2 linked regions of the Bombyx mori genome follow. The protein of the gene in region 1 interacts with the protein of each later gene in a biochemical or structural test. Links are inferred from orthologs where the notes say so. Each region holds a gene or a part of one and is shown in the gene's direction. Other genes may lie near its edges.

Region 1 (13,232 bases):
TCTGAATTTAATTTCGCGATTTTCCGGATTCAAACGCATTCTCTACTTTAAGTTTATCACTTAATGACAGTACTTTAATTTTCCGTTATGACATGATGCAGAACAGAACTTTACTTCGCAATTGATTAACGATAAACTGAGTAAGTCCGACAAACTGGACGGTACACAGGCGCACGTGTCCATTCGAAAAAAATGCGATAAAATAACAACGTTATTTAGTTTCACAAAATAGAATAGGTTCAATATTGACGAGAAAACAATACAAAAACAATGGAAGGAAGTTCTACAAAAGTTAAGAATGAGTCATAAAATAGCAGATGTTAAATTTGTAATTAGTTTTGTCACTTGTTCCTCCTAACTAATATAAATATATAAAGCTCGACTGTCGCTTATAGAGGTATAGATAAGTAGCAGTCTCACTTACGGAAGTCTATGAGGGAAAAACGACTCTCTCTTACAGAGGTTTCTGTTTCTCGCTAATAGAGGTTTTGGGAGCTTAAAATGACGGTTCCTGGCTATTACTCTCACTTATAGAGTTTTCTCACTTATCCAGTTCTCACTTACCCAGGTTTGACTGTATTTATTTAAATTAAATAATCTTGCACCTACATTATCGTAATTATATAAATACTTTGAATTTGTTACTTACCTATTACCTCGAAAATATTTGTAACTTAAGGGTTTTAAGGGAACCATTCCGATATAAAACGGGTTAATTATAGCAATACGCACCTCACGAGACCATTGTGTGCTGCCTTAATTTAGATTGCGGGTTGACGAATACTAATTTGCATAAATAGTTACTAAAACAAAGCTTTTTGCAGAAATAAAAAATCCACTGTAAAGCATAGGTATGTACACATATTATGCATAGAATTTAGTTAAGGATATTTTTTGGGCCCTACCCACCAAACGACTTCCCTTGCACTCTCTCATTCTATGTATGTATGTACGATCCCTCCCGGGGTCAGTAACATTTCTATTGATAAGCAACTTTAGATACATGTAATTATTATTGAGTTAAGTCCATTACACGATTTTTATTTCCACTGCATGATGAAATGATTATTAGTGTTGAAGTTAGGAAAACTTGATTATGGATTGATGTTGAAAAAATTTCAAGATTTCCGGTTTCAAAGGTAGGAAATATTGATACATACCTCAACCTACCCACCTACGTTTTTTTTGTCTAATGACTACATATAGACCCTAATAATAGGTTGGGGAAAATGTTTCTTCGCATTTTTAAAAATAATTCACAACATTTTTTAATTTAGTTTATTTACATTTAACTAAAGTATGTAGGTACCATTTTGTTCGATAGCTTTTTGGCATCTTGTAGGTAGAGACATGATCCCATTGCTATAGAAATTTTGGGGCTTCTGATCAAAATACCACGACAATTGGTTTTGGCAATCTTCTCGTGGTGTTAACCTGACACTGCCTAAAGAATTCTGAAGAGACCGAAACAGGTGGAAATATGAAGGTACAAGGTTAGGACTATACAGCGGATGCATTAACACCTCCCAGCCAAGCTTTCTTAATTTTTGCTGAGTGGCTAAAGATATGTGAGGTCTAGCGTTATCATGATAAAAAACCACACCCTTTTTGTCTGCCTAGTGGTAACAGCTCATAATGAATAATGCCCTTCCAATCCCACCACACACACAGCATCACCTTGTTGCGAGTTAGCCCGGGTTTCGCCACAGTTTGTGAAGCCTGACCGGCCTTTAACCACGACCTTTTTCGCACGTTCTTGTCGTACGTGATCCACTTTTCATCACCAGTTATCAGCTTCTTCAAAAATGGTTCGGTTTCATTACGTCGTAATAAATAATCACAAATGAGTACACGGTTCATTAGGTTTCTTTCAGTGAGCTCGTGAGGTACCCAAATATCGAGCTTTTTTGTGTACGCAGTTTTTTTCAAATGCGCCAAAACTGTTTTGTGGTCAATTCCCAGTTCTTCAGCTACGTCGTAACAACTGATATGCATATCTTGCACCACTTTTTCAAAAATGGCATCCATTTTGTCCGTAATAGGGCGACCAAAGCGACGTGCATCTTTGACATCAAAATTTCCGGATTGAAAACGTTTAAACCGATTTTTTTTATTTTTTTTATTGCTTAGATGGGTGGACGAGCTCACAACCCACCTGATATTAAGTGGTTACTGGAGCCCATAGAAATCTACAACGTAAATGCGCCACCCACCTTGAGATATAAGTTCTAAGGTCTCAGTATAGTTACAACGGCTGCCCCACCCTTCAAACCGAAACGCATTACTGCTTCACGGCAGAAATAGGCGGGGCGGTGGTACCTACCCGTGCGGACTCACAAGAGGTCCTACCACCAGTAAAATTTATGCTACTCTCACAGATACTGCACTAGGTCCATAAAGATCGCAAATTTGTTTCGCGGCTTGCTTTGCATTTTTACCTTTTTTGTAGTAAAATTTTAGAATGTATCGAATTTTTTCATTAGATTCACTCATCTTGACAGTACGAAAAATAAATGAAAATCATACATTTTCCAAATTTGTATTTGGAATTATCTTCTTTAAAATTTAAACTTTTAATGATACCAAAACCAGCCAGATACAAATAGTATAGCCAAAGAGATTTTATTACAAGTTCATACATACTATAATGCGAAAAGACTTTTTCCCCAACCTAAAAAGCGCGAAAAATGCCTTGGTGTACATAGGCAATTCAGACTTCATGCCTAATCGAGGTGGAAATGGATTTAATTTTTGTACTCTGTTCAATTGTACTGTATTCAATTTAAAGATCTTTAAAGGACATTAATTAAACTAAAACAAACATGGCATTACTTTTAAAGTTGAATTAATTTGAAACTAATCATAACGCATGATGTAATTTATGACTAATCATTGGGTATTGATGTCTATAGTAATCTCATATTTTATTTTGGGCCCAAGCGGTTTTACATGTAATGAAGTTAAGCTTAGCTTAAGGCTGCCTGTCCACCGGAGCGGAGTGAGAAAGTAATGGGGAGCGGAGTTTAGTACCTACGCGACGAGTCAGTGCACACTGCAGGCGCGCCTGGCGCCCGCGCCCGCCCTAGCTTCCCCTCTCCGCTGTCTCGCTCCGCTGTCTCGCTCCGCTGTCTCGCTCCGCTATCCCGCTCCGCTTGCCGGTTTTGTATGAAATTTTAAACTACTTAATTCGCAACTAGAGAGGAGACTGTCCACTAAAGAGGAGCGGAGATTTTGTGCAATATTATTGGTTAATATTTCTCTGTTTCTCCGCTCCACTGCCTCGCTCCGCTCCAGTGGACAGGCAGCCTAATTTAGTTGTTTGCACGGCAATTTTTAATACTATTAAGTATTTCATATTACGTAATATAATAATTACTATAATATTACGTACTGTACTATAATATTACGTAATTACTTTCTGTTGTTTTGATCCAGCACCCAGCACGATACTCCAGTCGTCCAAGTAAGTTACTGTAGATATCTTAAAAGGTATATTTTACGTTATTTTTCAATATATTACAGATGATTCAATGCTACACAGAAAATCCACATCAACCTTTAAAGTGTTCGGAAGCTGTTCAGGCTTTTAGTAATTGTGTTGCATACTCAAGAGCTGAAGATTAATTCCAGTATTGCCTAGTCTAGTTTAATATTTTAGTGAAATCATTACCGACAAAAATATTTCATGAGCATATATGTTTTGAAATTTATTGTATAAAGTTACAATTTAATATTTGATCAATGTAAATAAATGTTAACTTTTTTTTAACTATTCAATATCTACGTAACTGTGTGAAAAAGAAATACGTATTTTGAATAATTTGGTGAGTTTTTATTGTTTATCCGATTGATAATATTTCCGAGAGCTGATCAGTAGCGTACAGTTAATATAAGCTATTTACAATATTTTATTTGTTTGCTACAAATTGCATGCAGTATGTACCGACCCTTCACACCATGACATCATATGCTGTAGCTGCTGTTGCCTTAATAATTAACCCATATTACACTGAGTTTGTTGTATTCGAGGTAGGTTACGAAATATTTCACAATAAAACTTAAACTACACCAAGAAATTTGCGAATGAGTTCGTTTTCAGCTTTAAGCACGGTTTTAATATGCCCTGCATTATTTTTTTCATTCTGGAGACCATGCTAGCGATTCCAGCTTCCATCAACATTCGAGGTTTGGGTTCAAATTTCATTCAAATTATCCTTGCTAATTCGGTGTAACACAAGTCTTGCGGATTCTGTGAAACCAGCGCCAAAAGCCTTTCCGTGTTGGACCAGCACCTGCTATCTCCCTATCCAGCTCTTTCCCTATCTGTTACAATTTTATCAGACCAGTCTTCATTTACACTTTTTTTTTACTTTTTCTTAGTAGGTTTACGCATAATAAGACGCAGTCATGACTTATAAATTCATTTGGTGTTTGTGAAAGTGCCAAGTGCGAATCGAATATTACTAGACATGACTTCCCGAGTTTTAATAATTTCTCTAAACTTTGATTTGAAAGAAAGGATTTGGCAGTATGACCTTTTTTCTTTTGCCCACCTACCTGGACAAAACAAACAAATGTCTCGTTAGAAGAGTAAAATTTTGAAAGTTTTGATTCTGGAGTTAGTAAATAAATTAATAATAGTTCGATTTATTATTTGAATTAAAAATTAAATTTAAGTTTAGCTTACAATTGATCTCATATAAATGTTATGATGGCCAGCTTTAACTTGTCGGTCTAGCGATGTGCCTGAGAAAGAAGAACATTTAATAATTATTAGAGGTTTAGAGTTCAGGTTTGAAAATGGCTTTGGTCAACCCATGTGATATGTTTAACGAAAAAACAAAATGCCATACAATTTTGGACAAAATAAATACATTAGACGAGAATGTCGCAACTAAGGTAAAAGATATTAAAAAACATGTAAGTACAAACTGATAACTAAGGTTCTTTTATTCGACTTCAAGTTCCTTTTTGTTTTAGCCACCGGATATTAATGATTTTACAATTGTGAAGCCGATAAGCCGAGGTGCGTTTGGTAAAGTTTTCCTAGCACATAAAAAGAATAACAAAGACCAAATGTATGCCATCAAAGTAATGAAAAAATCTGAAATGATAAATAAGAATATGGTAGCACAAGTTGTGACTGAAAGAAATGCTTTGGCTCTATCTAGGAGTCCTTTTTGTGTTCATTTATTTTACTCACTTCAGTCAATATCATCTGTGTATTTGGTAAGTTTTGATTGATTACTACTAGATTTTATAATACTGAATAAGTATACTATTGTAATGAAAACAAAAACAATGTCTATCAAAAGTTATGCATAATTGATCTTTCCAATGTTTTCCTTTGTCAGGCTATGTAAATACTAATCTTTAAAAGCGAGGACGCTCTTAAGCTGACCCTAGTGATTTATTTTTCAGGTAATGGAATATATGGTTGGAGGTGATTTAAAGTCTCTTTTAGGAGTCTATGGTTTTCTGGAAGAAGCTATGGCTGTCTTTTATATAGCTGAAATAACACTAGCTTTAGATTATTTACACAAACATCACATTGTACACAGAGATCTGAAACCTGATAATATGTTGGTATCAAAAAGTGGTCACGTTAAACTCACTGATTTTGGTTTATCAAAAATTGAGATACATAGAGGTAATTCGAATTTGGGTTTATTATTGTTGTTTAGTTTATTTGTAAATGAAATTATAGTAATAAGAGTAATTAGTTTGGGGTTTCACATCTGATTAACGTCATTCACACAATTTATGTGGGGAAAATGATTAAAATGCAATTTGTCAACATCAAGGAATATTCCTTTTCGGCAATTTATTAAAATTAAAATGTGTAGCATTATGAACAGAATAAATAAATCATCGATAATTCGAATATTGTAAAGATTATTGATAAAAAAAAAAAACACTTTTCTATGAGATGCATATGTTTTCAGTTATATTTGTTTTCTTTTAGATTTAGAAATATCTGATTTCGTAAATAGAACACCAAGTTTAAACATGAGGACACCTGGCCAGCTTCTATCTTTAACTTCACACTTGTCATTTGGCTCTGGCGGGGGAGAAAGCACACACAACTCTGTTATCTCAAGTGATGCCTGTGAGAACCTTCTTGATGAACTTAAAGAAACCTGTATGATTTGTTCTTAATTAAAGAACTGAAAAAAAGAAAAAAAAATTAAATCACTTACACATATTTCATTTTTTTTGTAAAGTGAAATATATTGTCTTGGATCGATTTATTCATAGTAATTTCAAATGTTAGTTGAAATGAAATCTAATGCAATGGATATTTTATAAAATATTTACTGATTATGTTTTTTAAAGGTAAATTAAAGAATTTGTTTGATGGTAAATGTGCATCTGGAAGTTCATCTGCTTTGGACCAGTCACAATTATCAGGAATTCATCCTTTCATGAGTGCAGAAAGTATTAGTTTGGATGAGAATGCTGTAAGAATTTTTTCTTTATAATAGACAGTGTAAATATAAAAGTTTGATATCCGTCACTACTTAACAAACCATTTAATAGATTGTTAAAGTGTAATAATAAATTTAATGCTAAAAGTAAAAAGTAAAAGTATAGGTTCTCAAAAATCAGCATAATATAAAGGACATGCACATGTGAAATGCGGTTTGGAAGTAATAGTAAATATTAATGCATTATTAAGAATGTAAATTAATTGAAAAAGAATTCAATCTTAGTCAGTATTTAACTGATAATTAGGATAAAAAAACATCTTCTTAAATCTGGCCTACAATTTCGTCAGCAGTTAATATGATATATTATTGAATAATATACTTAAAAATATAAAGTGATAAGTTAATTTATTGAAGTTGAACCAGTAAATCATTTTTTAACAATAATGTAACAAAGTAAAATGATATAATTCTAAAGCTTCAGGATTCGAGATCAGGATCTCTTAGTTCATATCATACATGCGAGAGCTCTAAAAACAGCAGCAATTCAAAGCACAGTAAATCCACTGATATCAGCAACAACACTGAGTCGTCAATTGGTGAATCGGTACTATCGGATTCTCAGCACACTCAGCATAATCAATCTACTTCACCTCTCTGCAGAGGACATTCATTGAAACGAATACCAAGGTAATTCAATACAGGTTATTTTAAATTTAGAATAGAGATATATATATAAATTTGTGGAGACGTTATTCTTTTATATTGTGTGGTTTTTTATGTGTTTACTAACGGAAACAATTATTTAATGAAGAATTTACATAAATTTAAGATGATGCAAAAACACCGGTTCCAAAGCTACAACAATAATAAGCTTTTCCCCAATTTGAGCGAACAATGAAATCCATTAAATAAATGAGTTCCCTTGAAACCACAGATCATGATCATCATCTGGTTGTCAAATGTTGCATTGTATTTAATGCAATGTATAATATGTATTCATAGTGGCTATAAATCTAAAATTGCTGGAGTCCGATACAGCAGACAGAACACTGCATACTCTTTGAAATTTCTACTAATATTGGCCTAGATCTAAGAATCGCGTTTTATTTTGAACAATGCTTTTTTTTTGCATAGATGGCTGGACGAGCTCAGCCCACCTGGTGTTAAGTGGTTACTGGAGCCCATAGATATCTACAAGGTAAATGCGCCACTCACCTTGAGATATAAGTTCTAAGGTCTCAAGTATAGTTACAACGGCGGCCCCACCCATTAAACTGAAACGCATTACTGCTTCACGGCAGAAATAGGCGGGGTGGTGGTACCTACCTGTGAGGACAAGAGGCCCTACCACCAGTAAAAATCTTAACATTGCCTTATTTCTGCATGTGAAAATGTATTATGTATAATAAATGCATCGATCCCGCGGATCAGTGGTCACTAATGAACAGGCAGAAGAAACGATCGTCGGCTACTTAAATAAGTGCCAGGGCAGAACTTATCTTTCCTTTAACAGTTTCAGAGCAAAGAAACGCAAGCGAATACTAGACTGTGACGGGGACACTCCGACCGGTGTGACTAGTCTTGCTGAATCGAAAGAGAATCACAGCGGGCTCACACAAGAGATAATGGCTTTAGAATTGACTCAAAACACGCCGAAACGAATGTCCCTACATCCAACACCTGACAGAAGGAAGAATCCTCTGAAAGGTGTCTTGAAAAAAAGGTATTTTTTTATTTGTTATATTTTGATTTTAGGTGAAAAAATGTCCCCCCTTATTAAAATTAAATAATTTTTTGGCATTCATGCGTTGTGTCCGAACATAAACCGTGGTCTCACATGTTAGTCGTGGTCTGTTAGTGTTGTGTTGGTTAGTGTTGTTGTTGTGACAAACAGACAAGCATGTAGTAGTTCTCATAGCAAACCTTCCAATCTCCAAGACAAGAGGTCTTGGCAAAGTCGGAAGGGCTTTCAGGCCAACAACTATCCTTCGAAACAAAAAATAATATTTTTTATAATTAAGTTCAGAATTGTCAGACAATATGAGTGTAATAATTTTCGTCTGAAATAAATGCATCCATCAAATCGACAACAGTCAGTTGCTTGGCTGTGCCCCTGACGTTACTGATGTCCATGAGAATTATTATTGCTCGCTGTAGGAAAAATAAATATTTTAAATTAAAATGCTTTATATTTCTTCATAGATGGGCTTCACAAAACGACAGTCATCACTTTAACGTGGGAGTAATATTCTCAACACCAGTTTCAAATAATAAATCTGAAGCGACGAAGAAAAGGACGAAGGAGACCCGTTTCAACCTACCAAAGGATGATCTAGTTGATTCTCTAGATACAAAAAAGTGTGTCGTCTTTGGAAAACATATTTCGAATAGTTTGGAGATGTTTCCTGTGCGGAGATTAAGTAAAGTACGTAGGTACTATATATACCATACAAATATACAAGATTATGTATTACATATTTTCAATCAAAAAAAATGAAATATAAATTATTAGTGAGTTGATAAATCTCTTTTTTTATTGTTTTGATGTGTGGACGAGCTCACAGCCCACTTGGTGTTAAGTGGTTACTCAGTATAGTTATTCAGTATAGTGTAAAATCTTTCAGGGGGAAGGATGTAAATCGCCTACAGAAATGTGCAAGACTCCATTAGCAGCTGCGCACACGCCGTACAGGACCCCCAAGAGTGTTAGAAGAGGCAATCTTATATCAGACCAAAGAATTCTGGGAACGCCTGATTATTTAGCACCTGAATTACTATTGAAGTAAGATTTTTTAATTGACATCGATTTTAAGTTCAGAAAGAACCTCAATTAGAGTTAAAGTTAATACATACTATATGTTGAAATACAAACTAAATTGAGAACCTCCTATTAAAAAACCGACTTTCTACACCATGTTTTATTTGTTGTCTATAAATGCAAAAAGACAAGTCTCTGTATTCTTTGCATTGCAGGTTCATCGAATATTAAAGGTTCGTTATAAGTATTAATTATGGATACTGATATGATATATGAATGATCGAATTCTTAATCATGTAGGCAATTCCACTTGATAATAGAACGAATTACTATTTTCCATTAAACATAGGCAGTACAGTAGTATAATATAATCAGTGCCTAGTGATCTAATAAAACATTAATTATAATTGTTACGACATCAGGCAAGGCCACGGGCCGCAAGTCGATTGGTGGGCTTTAGGAGTCTGCCTATACGAGTTCATGACGGGTGTACCACCTTTCAACGACGAAACACCGCAAGCTGTCTTCAAAAACATACTGTCTAGAAGTGAGTATAACAATACTTATGATGTGACAAAATACTAAAAAAAATGGTGTCTTTTAATTATTATGTTTGTAAACTCGAATCGAATGATCTATTAAAGACAATTTTTCGGTTCACAATATGATAACATGATACTGATTATAAGTACTGGGTGTTTGGAGACCGTTTCTGAAAAGGAAAATTTTGCCTACAAAGCTATAAATTTTGGGGAGTGTGGTATCAGCGCCGCGCCGGTGTGCGTGTAAAAGAAAAGCGCGCCCGGGCGTTCGTTGATCCGAGCATCAGCTGTTTTTGATTTTGTGTTTCATTGCTGGTTTTAATAAAAAGTATTAATAATAATTAATGTATTTTTTATGAAACTATCATTTCATTTAGCCGACTAACTTGACGGAGCGTAAACAATGCGTTTAAAAATATGTTTTTTTTTTTAAATCAGCATCGATTTTTTTTCCTTCCCATCATCAAAGGTGTCTTTAGTAGTACTCTGTCTTCGGAAACGATCTCCTAATACCCAGTATAGGCACACAATAAATGAAATCCAAATTTTTTATTGTCATATAAGCGTACTTTGTATTTTGTATTCCAGATATCGAATGGCCAGAAGGTGACGAAGCGTTATCGCCCGAAGCTGTGAGTTCTATCGAGGCTCTACTGACGATGGAGCCGGCGGAGCGCCCGGCCGCCGCCGACGTGCGGGCCATGCCCTTGTTCAGAAACGTTGACTGGGAGAACCAACTCAACACGGAACCGCCATTCGTTCCCACGCCCGACGATTTACATGACACAGGATACTTCCAAGGTACACTACAGACAACGTTAGCTCCTTAAACAATTGTATTATGGGGGAATCTGAATGCGGGAATTGTGGTAGCCGAAGTTCTTGATGCGCTGATGATGTAGTGTGAAGACTGCAGTTGTTCCGTCGCAGGTCACCCATATAGGGATACACGACGGCGGGAAGATTTTACACCAAGCGTGTGATATTTTGCTCGGTAGACCGACGATCCAAATGTTTTTTTTTTTATTTCTACCTATGCTGATAGCCTTGAGAGGCTATTTCAGCGTAACCTTAACTAGTAGGTGAGCTCACGGGGCACAAACCTGACGACGTTGCTAACACGAACCCTAGCAAGACTCGTGCTTCACAGAATCTACCACCGGATCGGAAACGCGACCCACTGAGAAGATCCGGCGAGAAACTCAGTGGGCTGTGTCTGTGGGATAATTTTCTCGTCGAGACCTTCGTCGCAAGCGACGGGTTCGACGAGAACGATGACCGGTCCCACATGTTGTCGTTCGGAACTTGTATATATGCAAGCTTATCTTGAAAATGTCGTAAGCGAGATTCAGGCATCTGTCAAATATCTTGTGTTCTGTGATGACTACCGCCACAGCTTAAAGAATATTTTTGTAAAAACAACTATAAAGAAATTGAGAAATGTCGTAATAATAGTTATTTTAAAAAAATATTGCACAAAGTAGGTGCACAGCAGAAACATCTCTTTCGCATGTCTGCACATAAATAGAACTAACGTCATGCTACTCAATGTGCATTATTTTTCTTATTTCGACAACTACCCACACGAATCTGAAAAGAATTTACGTTACTTATTTTTGACGAAATTCCTATATTTATTTCTATTTAAAAATTCTAATTTACATTCAATTGTAAATTATCATCATTTAACTAATAACTTTTTGTTTCAGCCCGCAATATTTTACAACAACTCCAAGTATCAAATTTCGACATATAATTTTAAATGTTCATGATAAACCTTTAACTAGTTGAGAATGTTAGCTGCATAATAATGATCAGCGTGTTAATCTATATGAAAAGTATAAATGTTATAATGTATTTATAAATAACGTTGTAATAAAATTATATTATTAAGTCCTTTATTCTGAAGACTGATTTTGTGTCATTATTATTAACAATATGTATTATCGTTTCAGAACAAAAAATGTATCTTTCACAGCATAGGTGCTTCAATTATATGAATAAATTTAATCTAACACAAAATAAAACGATTATTGAAAAGTTTACGTATTTTATTTTAGAAACTTAAGCTAAATTGGCACATTTCGTTGTCAAAATAAAATATCAATTCATTGAGAAAAGCAAGCTTAAGGTTGTTTTTCTCAAAATAATTGAAATAAAATATTTTTATGTTTTTCATAACGGCATCCAATTTTCTACCGTTATAACGTTTTATATATTTTCCTCACTTGGAGTTCTTCTGTATCCAAGGTAGGAATGCAGTGATGCGTGTGTATACACCTGGGTACTGTCCTTTACCGCAACCGATACCCCATGATACGATTCCGACTTGGTTCCACGTACCACCTTCGTTGACCATCAGTGGCCCGCCACTATCACCCTAAAATTTAAAAAGACGAGTTGTATAAACTAGTAAAGCTATTGTTCCATGAAAAGAAAGAAAGTTGAGATAATGGCGGTGAAAGTAAATGCAAATTTTCAGACCAAATCTATCAATTCTGCTATCGTGTTAATGAGGCACGTGTAACTTAAGGGGACCAAGCCCGTTTTAAATCGAATAAATTTTATAATTAAAACTACTTTTACGCTAAAATAATAATCAAAGCCCACCATGTTGTAAGTAGTTTTAAAAGTAAGAAAACTTGTCTGTTTGTTGTTTTAATTCTAATGTATGTATAATGACTTCCGTAAAACGAAAGTATGTGGTAGAGCTAGTGATCCTTAAAGAGACAACAATAATTCCGTTCGAATAGTCATAATTTACTAATGAACGTTTGTCGTCGTTGCACGTAATGTATAACAAAAAAAACAGCTGAGGCATAGGGCCTTTAAGAATACTGGACATCTGAAAATTATATAATGGCTAGTGAATATGTCCTATAAGCAGTATACATAAAAAAATATATTTGTTCACATTATTTACACAAAGAGAATAATTATTGTATTGGATTATTCTTACACTGCAGGAATCCATACTAGCTTTTCCAGCGCAAATCATGTGATCGACTATACCGCCCGGAGCAGCGGGGCCGTATTTAAGTCGACATTCAGAGTTAGTCCAAATCGGAATTGATACTTCTTGAAGAACAGACGGCTGCGGACCACCTAAAAAAATAATAGGTATGTATAGAACGCTCGGCCTAACTTGGCTGAATTGAATAAATATCGAGAGCTCCCCTGTTTACGAATGAAACTAGATTTTTTCATTTTGTATTTTAGTACGGTGTTTTTTACATAACTTATTTCAGCTATTTTTACTAATACTAAACTTACGATCTACAAGGCATCTGCATTAATATCCAGCACGCAGATAGCCCATAACAATAGATAGATATTTAATAGATATTTGACATTACTATTATAATATACTTGAATTAACAGTTTAAATAATTTCAAAATATCTTTGGATCCGAATATATGTTTACTGCTCTCTATTGGAGCAGAGTTTTTACTTTCTTGGAGTCACTGCTTTCACCTATAGTGCCTTTCAAAATAACATTT
Region 2 (11,624 bases), about 7.3 Mb from region 1:
ATTAAGCACCGAAATGGGATTATCAACTTGTATTCCAAGAGCATGTTTTATTGCTTCAACTTCTTTTAACCTAGTTGATATTATTTCACCTGTAAAATATTTATAAAAATGGGATCAAGTATGTGAAAAGTGAATTTTTATGAAGTTAGAATGTTAAGGGTTAATGGGCCTGATTGCTGGGCCAAGTTTCATAGATTAGATTCCCAATTTAGAAACATTTACATTCTTATGGGGACCAGATTTGTTTAATATCCATAATTATGTATACAAATATTTAAATATATCAATATCTGATTCCTAATGTATACAAAAAACTGCAAACAGATAGATTAAATTATAGGCATAGTTTAAGTTGGCAAAGTTGGCTTCTTTATTCTATTAGAGTTCTGCACGTATGGATATTTCCAGTAGTCATGGCACAAGAGTAAGTTTGTTTGACTGTTAAATTTAAAATATTTACTTTTTGATTGTATGATAAGTATCAGTCAGTATCAGTATCATTATATGATAAGGATCAGTATCAAGTTTTGTAACAAATATGTATATCTCTTTTAATTTATATTTTCTACACTTTGATTATTTGTACCATTTGTATCTTTTATGAATTACCTACCTATGTAAGATAACAAGATGCCGTACCACCAGTAACTAATTAAATTATATTTTTGCAGGTGTTATTATAATATTTTTTCTTTATCATGTTAGCCTGCTAATGCAAATAAGTCCAATTTTATTACAAAATTTGGAACTTGACTATGGGATTTGACAAACAGTGAGATTGATTTATATGAGTGCATTGATTGTCTTATCCTTTAGGGCATGACTATTAACTCTATCCTACCCTTGAGAGAGATTCATCAGAGCAAAATCAACCCGGTGTGTGACATTTAGTGCGACAGATAATTGATAGTAATGAGATTGGACTTTAGAAAAAGACACTCTACCTACATAACAAGAAATATTTTCACCATGTTGATACTTAGTAAAAAATAGATGCAGGAAACAAAGATGCCCATCTTTACATTAATTACATTTTTCATTTTGCATAGTGATGAAGTGGTGGAATTCACATAAGAATATCTATGTCTGTCTATGGAGTGCAGTAAGCACTTAACACAAAGTAGGCTATGAGATGATGATATGATGATGAAATGGGTATCTGTGCAATAAACAAAAAAGGGAAGATATTTCATGGAGTGAGTGGTTGAAACTTGTATATAAGCTTGTTTTCTAAATATCATTGCAAATCAGATTTTTACAATACTTCTATTCTGTTTTAAATAATGCTGCAAGATAAATTTAAGTACAATAATTAACTTTGACTTTAATAGATTATAGAAATATTATAAGTACATACCTGATGCAGCTTTAATTTTATAATGCGAACCACTTGCATTGATTTCTCTGATTATTGTAATGTGATCGCCATAAATGTGACGTTTGTATGCTCTAGAACTACTGTTTCTCAGTTGAATCTCAATGGTTGCTGAATTTGCTCCACGCCTGATTAAAGCTGAAATAGAGAAATATGTTTTCTTAAGTTTTTACTTAGTTGTGGATTTGATTAAAGCTTTTATTATTTATTTTCAAAACTCAGGCAATTCTGAACATAAAACTATGAAATATTTGGAATTTCTGAATTATGATTAATTTACACAAATTTAAACCATATTTACTAATTTTAAAGATGTATTGTCAATCATATAAATTATAGGTTACTTGTAAAACATAGTACCTACCTAATGCACATATAAATGTTGGTTGTAATTGTTGGTCTCTAATTGAAATTTTGGCTTGTAATTCCATTTTTAAGCCTTTGAAATTGTAGCATTGGATACATCAAGTTTTAATTGTAAGTAAAAGAAATTTAAAGCAATTTCATTATGCGTTACATATTTAACATGTTAATTTTAATTCGGTCTTAAATGACCAATGTTGTCATAAATGGCGCGAAGACTTTCAAGTTCTTAGTTAACGTTTCAATAAAATACTCACATTGCACATTATTTCCTCTGTAAGTTATATCAGCTCTGCTGCCCAAGCCAATCACTAATGCAGATAGAATAGCACTTTTTCCACATCCGTTACGACCAACGATAAAATTTACGTTTCTGTTAAACTTTATTTTCAAATTTTCGAGACAAAACCAGTTACGCATATGAATACTAATAATGGTACCATCATTTTCTTCATTTGTGTCTACTTCCATAGTTAATATTAAATCATGAACTTAGATTATGTAGGTTACCATTTAATTACTTTAAACGAGAAAACAATGAGTGAGCAGTGAGCAGTGAGAGAAACATATATTTTATAACCGAGTCAAACTTAGTAAATGACAAATGACAATGACAAGTGTTTAATCTATGACAATGACAAAGGGCGACATGCTGTTACAGCTGATTACTACTGACTAATTTAATGATCTTGCAAGTTGATCACTTTTATTACTTATCAAATTTACTTTCATCCATAAAAACTCTACTTTCATAAATTTACGTTCTAGCAAAACAAATTTAAAATCAAGCAAAGAAAAATAATAACAATGTTTTACCAATATAGAATAAACAAGCAAACCCAAGCAAAAGATTCCTTTGCTCAAAAATTGTGAAAATTTGCTCCTAAGAAAAATCAAAACTAAAAAACAATAAACGCCATTTTTGTCAGTTAAATTTTGTTGAAGAGAATGAAACAGGAAAAGAGACGATCCAAACTAAAATCGTGAAAATCTGAGCATAGGAATTCTATAGTACTATACCGATACTAATTCGGGATTCCTTTATTCTCTACTAACTTTGAATAAAAAGTGGTTTTGTAGCAATTTTTGAAGTTAATAGGCCTGTCAATAAATACATAAAGGTAGGCCTTCAAACGTGCCTTTACATACCTGTTTTTTTTTAATTTGTTTGAAATAATAATTATTAAAAAGATTACCATAATCGTTCACAAGCGCATGGAAGCCTAAAGAGTGTCTAGAGTGTAAATGTATTTAGACTTAGTCGTAAAATATTGAAATCTATAGATTTATTTGTATGATATCTTGTCACATCATCAGAGAAGTTGTTAAAATAAACCAATGTTTTAAAATGTATAAGCTACATTCTTAATATTTTAATTAAACTTATTTTTAGAAAGCAACATGAGTGACTCACCAGACCAGAATGATCCACCAAAAGATGTAAGTAGATAAAATCGTAGAATGTTCTTGAAACCTAAACCTAATTTCCAGGCGTAATAAACTATTTTTGAATAAAAAATGATAGCTGATTTAAAAATACTTTGCAATACTGTAAATTAATTATACCTAGAAAGACAGTTCATCAAAAAATTATCCTTAGATACTTGTTTGTTTGTATATTATTACACTGAACAAATAACCTTGCAAACAAAACAGTAAATCAATAATAATAATAATCCATGTGTGTAAATTGGTTCTTATTGATAATAAATACTATAACAATGTATCAATTGATTGTAACAATTAACCATTAAAGTAGTGTAATTATATTTTTTTTATTTTTATTTCTTAGATGTGTGGACGAGCTCACAGCCCACCTGGTGTTAAGTGGTTACTGGAGCCCATAGACATCTACAACGTAAATGCGCCACACACCTTGAGATATAGTTCTAAGATCTCAGTTTAGTCACAACGGCTGCCCCACCCTTCAAACCGAAACGCATTACTGCTTCACGGCAGAAATAGGCGGGGCGGTGGTACCTACCTGTGCGGACTCACAAGAGGTCCTAGGTAGTAAAAAATGTTATGTATACAACTTGTGAAAACCAAAGAATACTAAACACCTTATCTAATATCTACACAACCAAACAATTAACCAGGAGCACAATTATTCGTTTTCTCGCATGAAAACTGTATAATCTCAAAGCTTACTAAATTTTACGGGAGAGCATTTTAAAGGTTTAACATATGATTTTTTAATATTAATCATCTTTGCAACATTTATTTTTTAGTTTTTACCAGTTACATTATCTGTCTTTTAATACTTTAAAAGACAGATAATGTAACTGGTAAAAACTAAAAAATAAATGTTTAGATAATTATAATGTTTAGATAAAGATAATTATAATGGTACTAGTATTGGATATATATTGACTATTAAGTAGGCAAAATATAGGTAAACTAAAAAAAAAACTAAAACTAAACTACGCTCTTTTGACAGTATTTATGAGAAAAATACTGGTGATACCAAATGATTCCGCATATTAACTCAATTCCAAATATTTTTGGAAATTGTACACTTTTAATGCGAAAAGACGAATTTATTGCCTCATCGTCATTGGATCAGAAATTATGATAAATCTGTATCTATATACTTTATTTACATAATTCATGCTTATCAAACCTGATAAATTTGAATTTGATCAGATTCTGGTTAGCAGCATCAAATATGATATCCGATACATCATAAATGCTCTGCCATATTTAGGAAAGAATCAACACCCTCTTCAGTAGTAACTTTCTGAATACATACTCAAAATCATGGAATCACTTGACACCAGTGCCAGGTGCCAGTGAGCTTGTTCACCCACCTAAGCATTAATAAAAATAATTGTTTACTGATATAACTGTGTCCACATTTTTTTGTTGTTGCTTAGAATGGTGGACGAGCTCACAGCCCACCTGATGTTAAGTGGTTACTGGAGCCCATAGACACCTACAACTGGCTACCACCAGTAACTACTCAAATTATCACTTTGCGGGTTTGATTTTTATTCTTCTTCTTCTTCTTTGTCGCTTCCACATTACTGAGGGTCGTGACCACCTTGGTCCAGTTTTTGCACTAGCTTCCTCCAATGTTGCCCGCATTCGGCCTGCTTCATGGCCTTATTTTTATTACACGATGTTATTGTTCCTTCACCGTGGAAGTCAATCGTGAACATTTGCTAAGTATGTATTTCATTAGAAAAATTAGTACCCGCAAGTGGGATTCGAACACCAATGCATCGAAAGATACAAATGCACCGAACGTTTTATTAATTTAGACCACGACGACTTCATAGTTGTAGTCTTCATAGTAGCAATAGGTGTGTCAAATGTTTCATAATTTTTTTTTCCTTTCTCAGCTTTCTTATGCAAAAATTCTTAAACAAACTTCTTAGGAACAAATATTTTATATTGTAGTTTTGTAATTGAACTGTTTTACTGTTAAATTAATTGACCATAATTGTTTATTTTTTGTCAATAAATTTTAATTATTGCAATATTTTTTTATTTCAGCCAAAAGAACTAGAAAAACTGGAAGAGGCAAAATTAAAAGCGAAATTCCCTAATGCGATGCTGGGTAGAGGGCCCAGTGGTCATTCTGCATTTCTGCAAAAAAGACTAGCCAAGGGAGTATGTATTTAACTATTTATTAACACTGAGAAACTTTTACTGTTAGTTTACTTTTTAGTTATAGTTCATTTTTTCTAAACGCTTGTTCAATTTTCAGCAAAAATTCTTTGATTCTGGCGACTATCAAATGGCAAAGCAGAGACCAGGCAACTTAGCTGCACCATTTAAGGCTCCAGCTGCACCAGCAAAGTTGCCTACTGGTGATGCAATCCCTACTCCTGAAACCGTACCATTAAGGAAGACTTCCATCATTCAGCCAAAATACACTACACCAAGTCAGACATCCTAGCCTTGTATCACTATGAATCCACATTACAATTGCAAAAAGTTAATATTGAAGAACACATCATAAAAAACATTTATTCACTATTTACATACTGGAATGTATAGTGTAGTCTATTTTCATTTTATCATCTCATTAAGAATAAAACACAGACACATTTCTAAAATAATTGAAAACCTTGAAGTAATCATACTTTTATCCACCATTTAATAGGACCTAAATAATGTCCTTTTATTTAAAGTGTGATGTGTTCTTTGGTACTGGTTGCATAAAAATTCAAATTTGTGATTGGGATCAGTTTAATTAAATTAAAATTTCATTTATTTTCTTTAGAAATGTGTCCATTAGAATCTGTACTGTTAATATAGTTTGTGAGAATGAGTTAGTTATTGATTATAAATAATCTGATGATTTTAGCATTTGAATCATAAGCACTCATTCTCAAAAACGAAGTTAAGTGGTAGTGCCAATGATACCTGAACACTACAGCAATGAATAATATTTAACCATGATATTGCATTAGTATCAAAGTAACACCATTAAGTCAGCCGAAGCAGGGTTTCTTACTTTAGGCTCTCACTGTGTGTATGGATATCCACTATGGCTTAGTTCTTGTCATGAAAAATGAATTTAGTGACATAACAAGTGTATATGCTTCATTCTGCAAAATTAAAACTGTTCTCAGCTATTATAGTGAACATTATTAGTTTTCCAGCTTTGGTCCTTATGTTATCTATTAATATGTATGAGTGTGATCGTTACATTAAGGATATAATTACTTCTTTCAAATTAGTAGTGTAAGTTCAGCTAATGTTACAATAGCACTAGCCTGATTATTACTTAGATAGCTATTTTTGTATGTATATTCTGAATAACTAACTGTCCTTTGTAATGTTAATATTTTAAAATCATTCAAAATTTGAATATATATAATGATTAACATTACGATTAGTTTTTTTGCAGCTTGGCCATCACTGAATGCACTACGAACATATTATATTTGTTTTTCTTATATCACAAGATTTACTGTAACATTATGCTATAACATGTCATTTTATCAAACATTTAGTACATAAATTGGAATGTGAAAGCATGTGAAATAACTGAAAATTATTTTCAGTCCATGTATATAAAAATGCCATAATGAAGGTTTATGAGATGTATTGATTCACTGCTCTCTGATGAGATGCATACTGTTAATTGTAAATTTAAAATATACCTTGGAGTCTTTCCTTTGTTATTTAAGATACTCATAATGTCAGTTGCATCAGAGAATCGCATACATAATGCGCGAAATACATAATGTGAAATACGAAGGTGATCGTGTAAAGATTAAGATGTTGAATAATTAGTGATTATTGAAAATAAAACAGATCTTGGGTAAAAAAAAAGCTCGTTTTATTTGAACAAGGCGTCACGGCAGCGGCGGCCAGGGTATAAATGAGATTACATAATGGCACTTGGTTATAAATTAAATTGTCAACGTCTTAGAATTATAGATTTGACGACTCATCTTTGGCATTCTTCTTTAAACTCTGCTGGTGATGAGCTTCGTGATATGAATCCAACATTCCGTCGCCTGTATGTGTTATATTTGGCTGCTCTCTGTAAAAAAAGAAATATACGGTTTCTCATTCATGTGTGTAACGAGGTAATAGTACACACAGTACGGTCATGCACTCCTCTACTGTAAGACGCGTAGCCACGAGGCAGACCATGTGTACATACGAGTCGAGTTTAACACTGTCAGAGGTCGCGCACATCAATCATTGTTCAACGATATTCTATATAATTCGATAATTGTTAAAATAAAACTAATTCAAAATTACGGAACTAGGTACTTAAATATTTTTCTAAGAATAATATTTCATTGTAATGAAAAAAAAAGGGCAAAGGGAGCATGGTATATTACAAAAATGAATAGTATGATCAGAATTAACACAAAACATCAGTGAAAAATCCGCCTGTTCGTGTTGTAACGAAGGTCCTTTATTGCGGTGGAGATATAGTACGGAGTTTCAAGCTTTTACTTCCATTGTACGCATGTTATTTATTGACCCCACTGGGATCAGATCAACCGAGCATCTGTGGTGGTAGTGAAACTAGCTTACGGACCCTTAAAGAGTCCCTTAACGATCAAGCTGCGAAACTGTTGTTACTCATTGGAATTACCAAGATTTGAGTCTTTTTTTTTTATTGCCCTTGTAGGCAGACGAGCACACGGCCTACGTGATGGTGAGTGGTTACCGTCGTTCATGGACTTCAGCAATACCAGGGGCAGAGTCAAGTCGTTGCCTTTGTCACGTCTGGTTATGAGTGGTGCGGTGGAGACGCGGACCTGGGTTCCAGTGCACGTAGTCGGGCGTGGCGGCGGCGCGGTACTCGTGCACCAGCTCGTCCACCACGCCGCGCGACGCGTCCAGCTCGTCCAGCGACTCGCGGAACATGGGCTCCTTGCGGAACACCTCCAGGAACGCTTCGCGCTTGCGCAGCTTGTCGAATTGTTGCAGACATCGATCGAACAGCTGCAATCACTCGTTTAATTATCTATATGAACTAGCCATACTCGTCCGCTTCGCTGGGCATTTAAAATTAACATTATTATTTATTGTCATTATTATTAGGGAGTCCAACACTCATATAAATATTAGTCTATCCATTAAGTACATGTATTTTCTACATTGATACCATGTTTCAAGTCGATCGGATGCACGGTTCAGTAGTTAAAACGGAACATCCGTAAAACCACTGTAGATTTATATATTAGTATAGATGTGAAGGCGCGTTCGTGAAACTGCAGTCTGAGGATTTGAGATCACAACTACAACTAGTTTTACTTTATTACTATTTAACATGAAACGCGAAATGTGCTCACTGTGTGCTCCTGCGGTCGGTAGAATGTTGATAATATTAAATTGTTACAATATTTAAAATGTTACAATTAGCGTCGAGTGAAAACAGCGCGGTTTACCAACTTTGGTAAACCAAAATTAGCAACCAGGATCTAACACTTGATGTTAAGTGGTTACCGGAGCCCATAGACATCTGCAACGTAAATGCCGCCACCCACCTTTAGAGATGAGTTTTAAGGTCTCACTTTTAACAGTACAATGGCCGTCTCGCCCTTCAAACCGAAACACATTACTGCTTAGCGGCAGAAATAGGCGGAGCGGTGGTATCTACCCTACTGCAGAACATGACATCCCACTAGAATCCTAGATGTGGGCAATGTGGGTCGATAGTAGAGGAAGTGCACCGACCGAGGAGATGTTGGTGTGGTTGGCGAGCAGCAGGCCCGACACCTTGTGCGCGGCCGTGACGTGGGGCGAGCGCCGCGAGAGCGCCACCTGCACGGACGCCGGCCCCCACGGGATGAAGGCGGCCAGGCGCCGCTCGCGGATGCGCTGCAGCGACTTGTGCACCTGCGACGGCTCCACCTCGCCCTGCAACCACGTCAGTGCTGACCTTTATACACCTTATATAATGTATTGTGGTGTGGTCAGTGTGCTTAGTGCGAGTTTCTTAACGTTCTCGATAGCGTAAAAGTTAACCCAATTTTGTATGCAGTTGGAACAGCGCCCCTAGCGGCAAACGTACGCAAACGATCTCATTCCATACAAATATGAGATAACTTTTACGTTATCGAGAACGTTAAAAAACTTGCACTAAGCACACTGGTCACGACGGATTAGAAGAGAGTAAATAATACGTCCGTTCAGTTTGAAGGTCCGGTTTATTGTGCCATAAGACGGTGGTGCTGAAGAAGCACTTTAAATAAGGCTGTATACATACTTGAGTGTTTACACACTACAGTATCAACACGAAGATCACCTCCAGTTGCCTCAATATAAACCAATTTGCTGGGACTGCATACCAGGTATGATTCAAAGAGAAACTCACGGCACAACAATATTGTGTAATCTGCTATTAGACATCTGATTCTATTCTATTATTTTATTGTGTGTGAATTATTTTATCACATAACTACTGTCGTCGCCTGGCTTGAGACAGAAAAGTTAACTCAAATTTGTATGCAGTTGGAATGTTTCCCTAGGTTTGCCGCTAGGGGCGCTGTTTCAACTGTTTATCAAATTTGAGTTAACTTTTACGGTATCGAGAACGTTAAAACACTCGCACTAAGCACACATATAATTAAAATAATAAACGCGAAATGAAGCCGCTCGTGGTTGCGGACGATTGAGACGTCATTCGTCGACATTTGACACTATACATACCCTAGTAACTGATGTCAGTTTGACTCACCTGTATAATGTTCAGTATGGATATGTAGCAGTGTTGGTTGGCCCTGTCCGGACTGAGCGACACCATCATGTTCTTGGGCTGTAACAGCCGCTGCATCACGTCTAGTACTGTCGTTTTGCGAATTTTCGGAGCCTGCAAGCAACAAACCAGAATTCACGAGCGTTCCGGTGTAAATTTCCTAACACACACATTCAGTTGTCTCTTTCTCTGGTTTCGACACCTAAAATTAATATTCGGCAAGACATTGTTCTACGTGATTTCTGGCAGATAGGATGATCCACTTTGATCAGGAATTAACTTCAGTTGAAATGTTTATGTTCAGAATTTATAGTACAACTGATTCAGGGTTCCAATAACGTTTCTTTGTTTTCCTTGCCCTCATCCCACCACGTGGGGTCGGCGCTGCGTGTCTTCTTTTTCCATCATACATCATCTTTGCAATCGCACTCTTCTCTTGCATATCCTCTTTCAAACTTTCCATCTAAGTCTTTTCCAATTTTATACTACTACTGGATTTAAAAATGCTAATTACTATTGGCAAAACTCACTGCGGTTTGTTCGTGATCGGCAGAGAGGGGCGTGTACCCAGTCATGAGGAAGTGCAGTCGAGGGGTAGGAATCAACGGCGCCACCAGACTGATCAGGTCATTGTTCATGTATGACGGATACCTGCAGGAATAACAAAACTTTGATGTCGTCTTCATCAACTAGTATAAACATTCTTTTTATAAAACAAATTAAAAATATTCTTCTTTAACTGCTTGTATGGAAGAACGAGCTCTAGGTTATGCAAAACAGTTACAGAAGCCAAAGACATCGTGAATGCCGCCACCCACCTTGAGACATGGACTGGGGCTCAAGTCATTGGTCTACAAGACTACAAGTACACATGTAAACAACGAACAATACCAAACACTGCACAACGAGGATTTTATGAAAAAGTTTATGAAGAAGACCTTAAACAAAAAGTACATTGAAACTTATGAAAAAAATTCATACTTGTAATGTACCAATACAACAAATAGTATTTCATTTATTAACATTTTAATGTAACTTTTGAATATGTAAATAAAGTCGGCTAATTATAAAAAAGTCATAAATGTACAGAGAGGGGAAATTACCTCAAGGTAGCAGTGCTTGCACTCATAATAGTAGACACAAGCGTGTTGATCTGTGCAAATGATGGGTTCTGTATGTGGAGGCGGTCACTGGCAATGCGATTCAATGCTGTATTATCCAGAACCATCACGCAGTCTGCACTCTCAGTGAGACGTTTCAAAGTTAACAAAGAGTTGTATGGCTGAACTACGACATCACTGAAATATATGGCATTAAATTAATGCATAAAACATTTCATGAAAATCATCCTTATTATTATTATTAATACCATCATGTACATTATACACATAATTGGTAAATTTTTTAGAAATTGGGATAAAAGTATCTGAAAATTACATTCTGCAGATATGCTATGCAACACTACCTCCATGACTTACAAACATTTTCATGCATTCATAGTCTCTGCACCTGATTTTATAATTCCCACATTCCCCAAGCCCAAGTTATTCATATAATTGTAATTGTATTTGTACAGTAGACAGGCTAAATAAATATTAACACCCATAATACATTTTCAATCTAATTGATGACAATATATCTAGTAATCTATCTAAAAGCATGTACCTAGAATGTATCTGAATTTACATTTATGGATAAAGATAAAGA

What was found.
Region 2: of the proteins of serine/threonine-protein kinase greatwall (region 1) and cAMP-regulated phosphoprotein 19, one has a biochemical effect on the other in vitro, tested with the Drosophila melanogaster proteins (2 studies listed by BioGRID). The link is inferred for Bombyx mori from reciprocal best matches to the Drosophila melanogaster genes gwl and endos.

What each region holds. Positions count from the first base shown.
Region 1 is NC_085111.1:9,214,415-9,227,646, reverse strand, and holds serine/threonine-protein kinase greatwall, read left to right. Parts: upstream 1-4,569; 5' UTR 4,570-4,800; coding exon 4,801-4,899; intron 4,900-4,980; coding exon 4,981-5,229; intron 5,230-5,421; coding exon 5,422-5,650; intron 5,651-5,965; coding exon 5,966-6,142; intron 6,143-6,336; coding exon 6,337-6,461; intron 6,462-6,906; coding exon 6,907-7,118; intron 7,119-7,944; coding exon 7,945-8,154; intron 8,155-8,633; coding exon 8,634-8,856; intron 8,857-9,055; coding exon 9,056-9,213; intron 9,214-9,611; coding exon 9,612-9,736; intron 9,737-10,319; coding exon 10,320-10,532; intron 10,533-11,440; coding exon 11,441-11,487; 3' UTR 11,488-11,771; downstream 11,772-13,232. Other genes in the region: uncharacterized protein LOC134198921, read left to right, coding at 3,523-3,624; proclotting enzyme, read right to left, coding at 11,956-12,111, 12,691-12,836.
Region 2 is NC_085111.1:1,894,430-1,906,053, reverse strand, and holds cAMP-regulated phosphoprotein 19, read left to right. Parts: upstream 1-2,397; 5' UTR 2,398-2,859; exon of another isoform or gene 2,860-2,979; intron 2,980-3,131; 5' UTR 3,132-3,139; coding exon 3,140-3,178; intron 3,179-5,236; coding exon 5,237-5,353; intron 5,354-5,450; coding exon 5,451-5,642; 3' UTR 5,643-7,027; downstream 7,028-11,624. Other genes in the region: structural maintenance of chromosomes protein 6, read right to left, coding at 1-89, 1,358-1,513, 1,996-2,209; tubulin gamma-1 chain, read right to left, coding at 7,225-7,241, 7,975-8,161, 8,897-9,079, 9,900-10,031, 10,448-10,568, 11,021-11,215.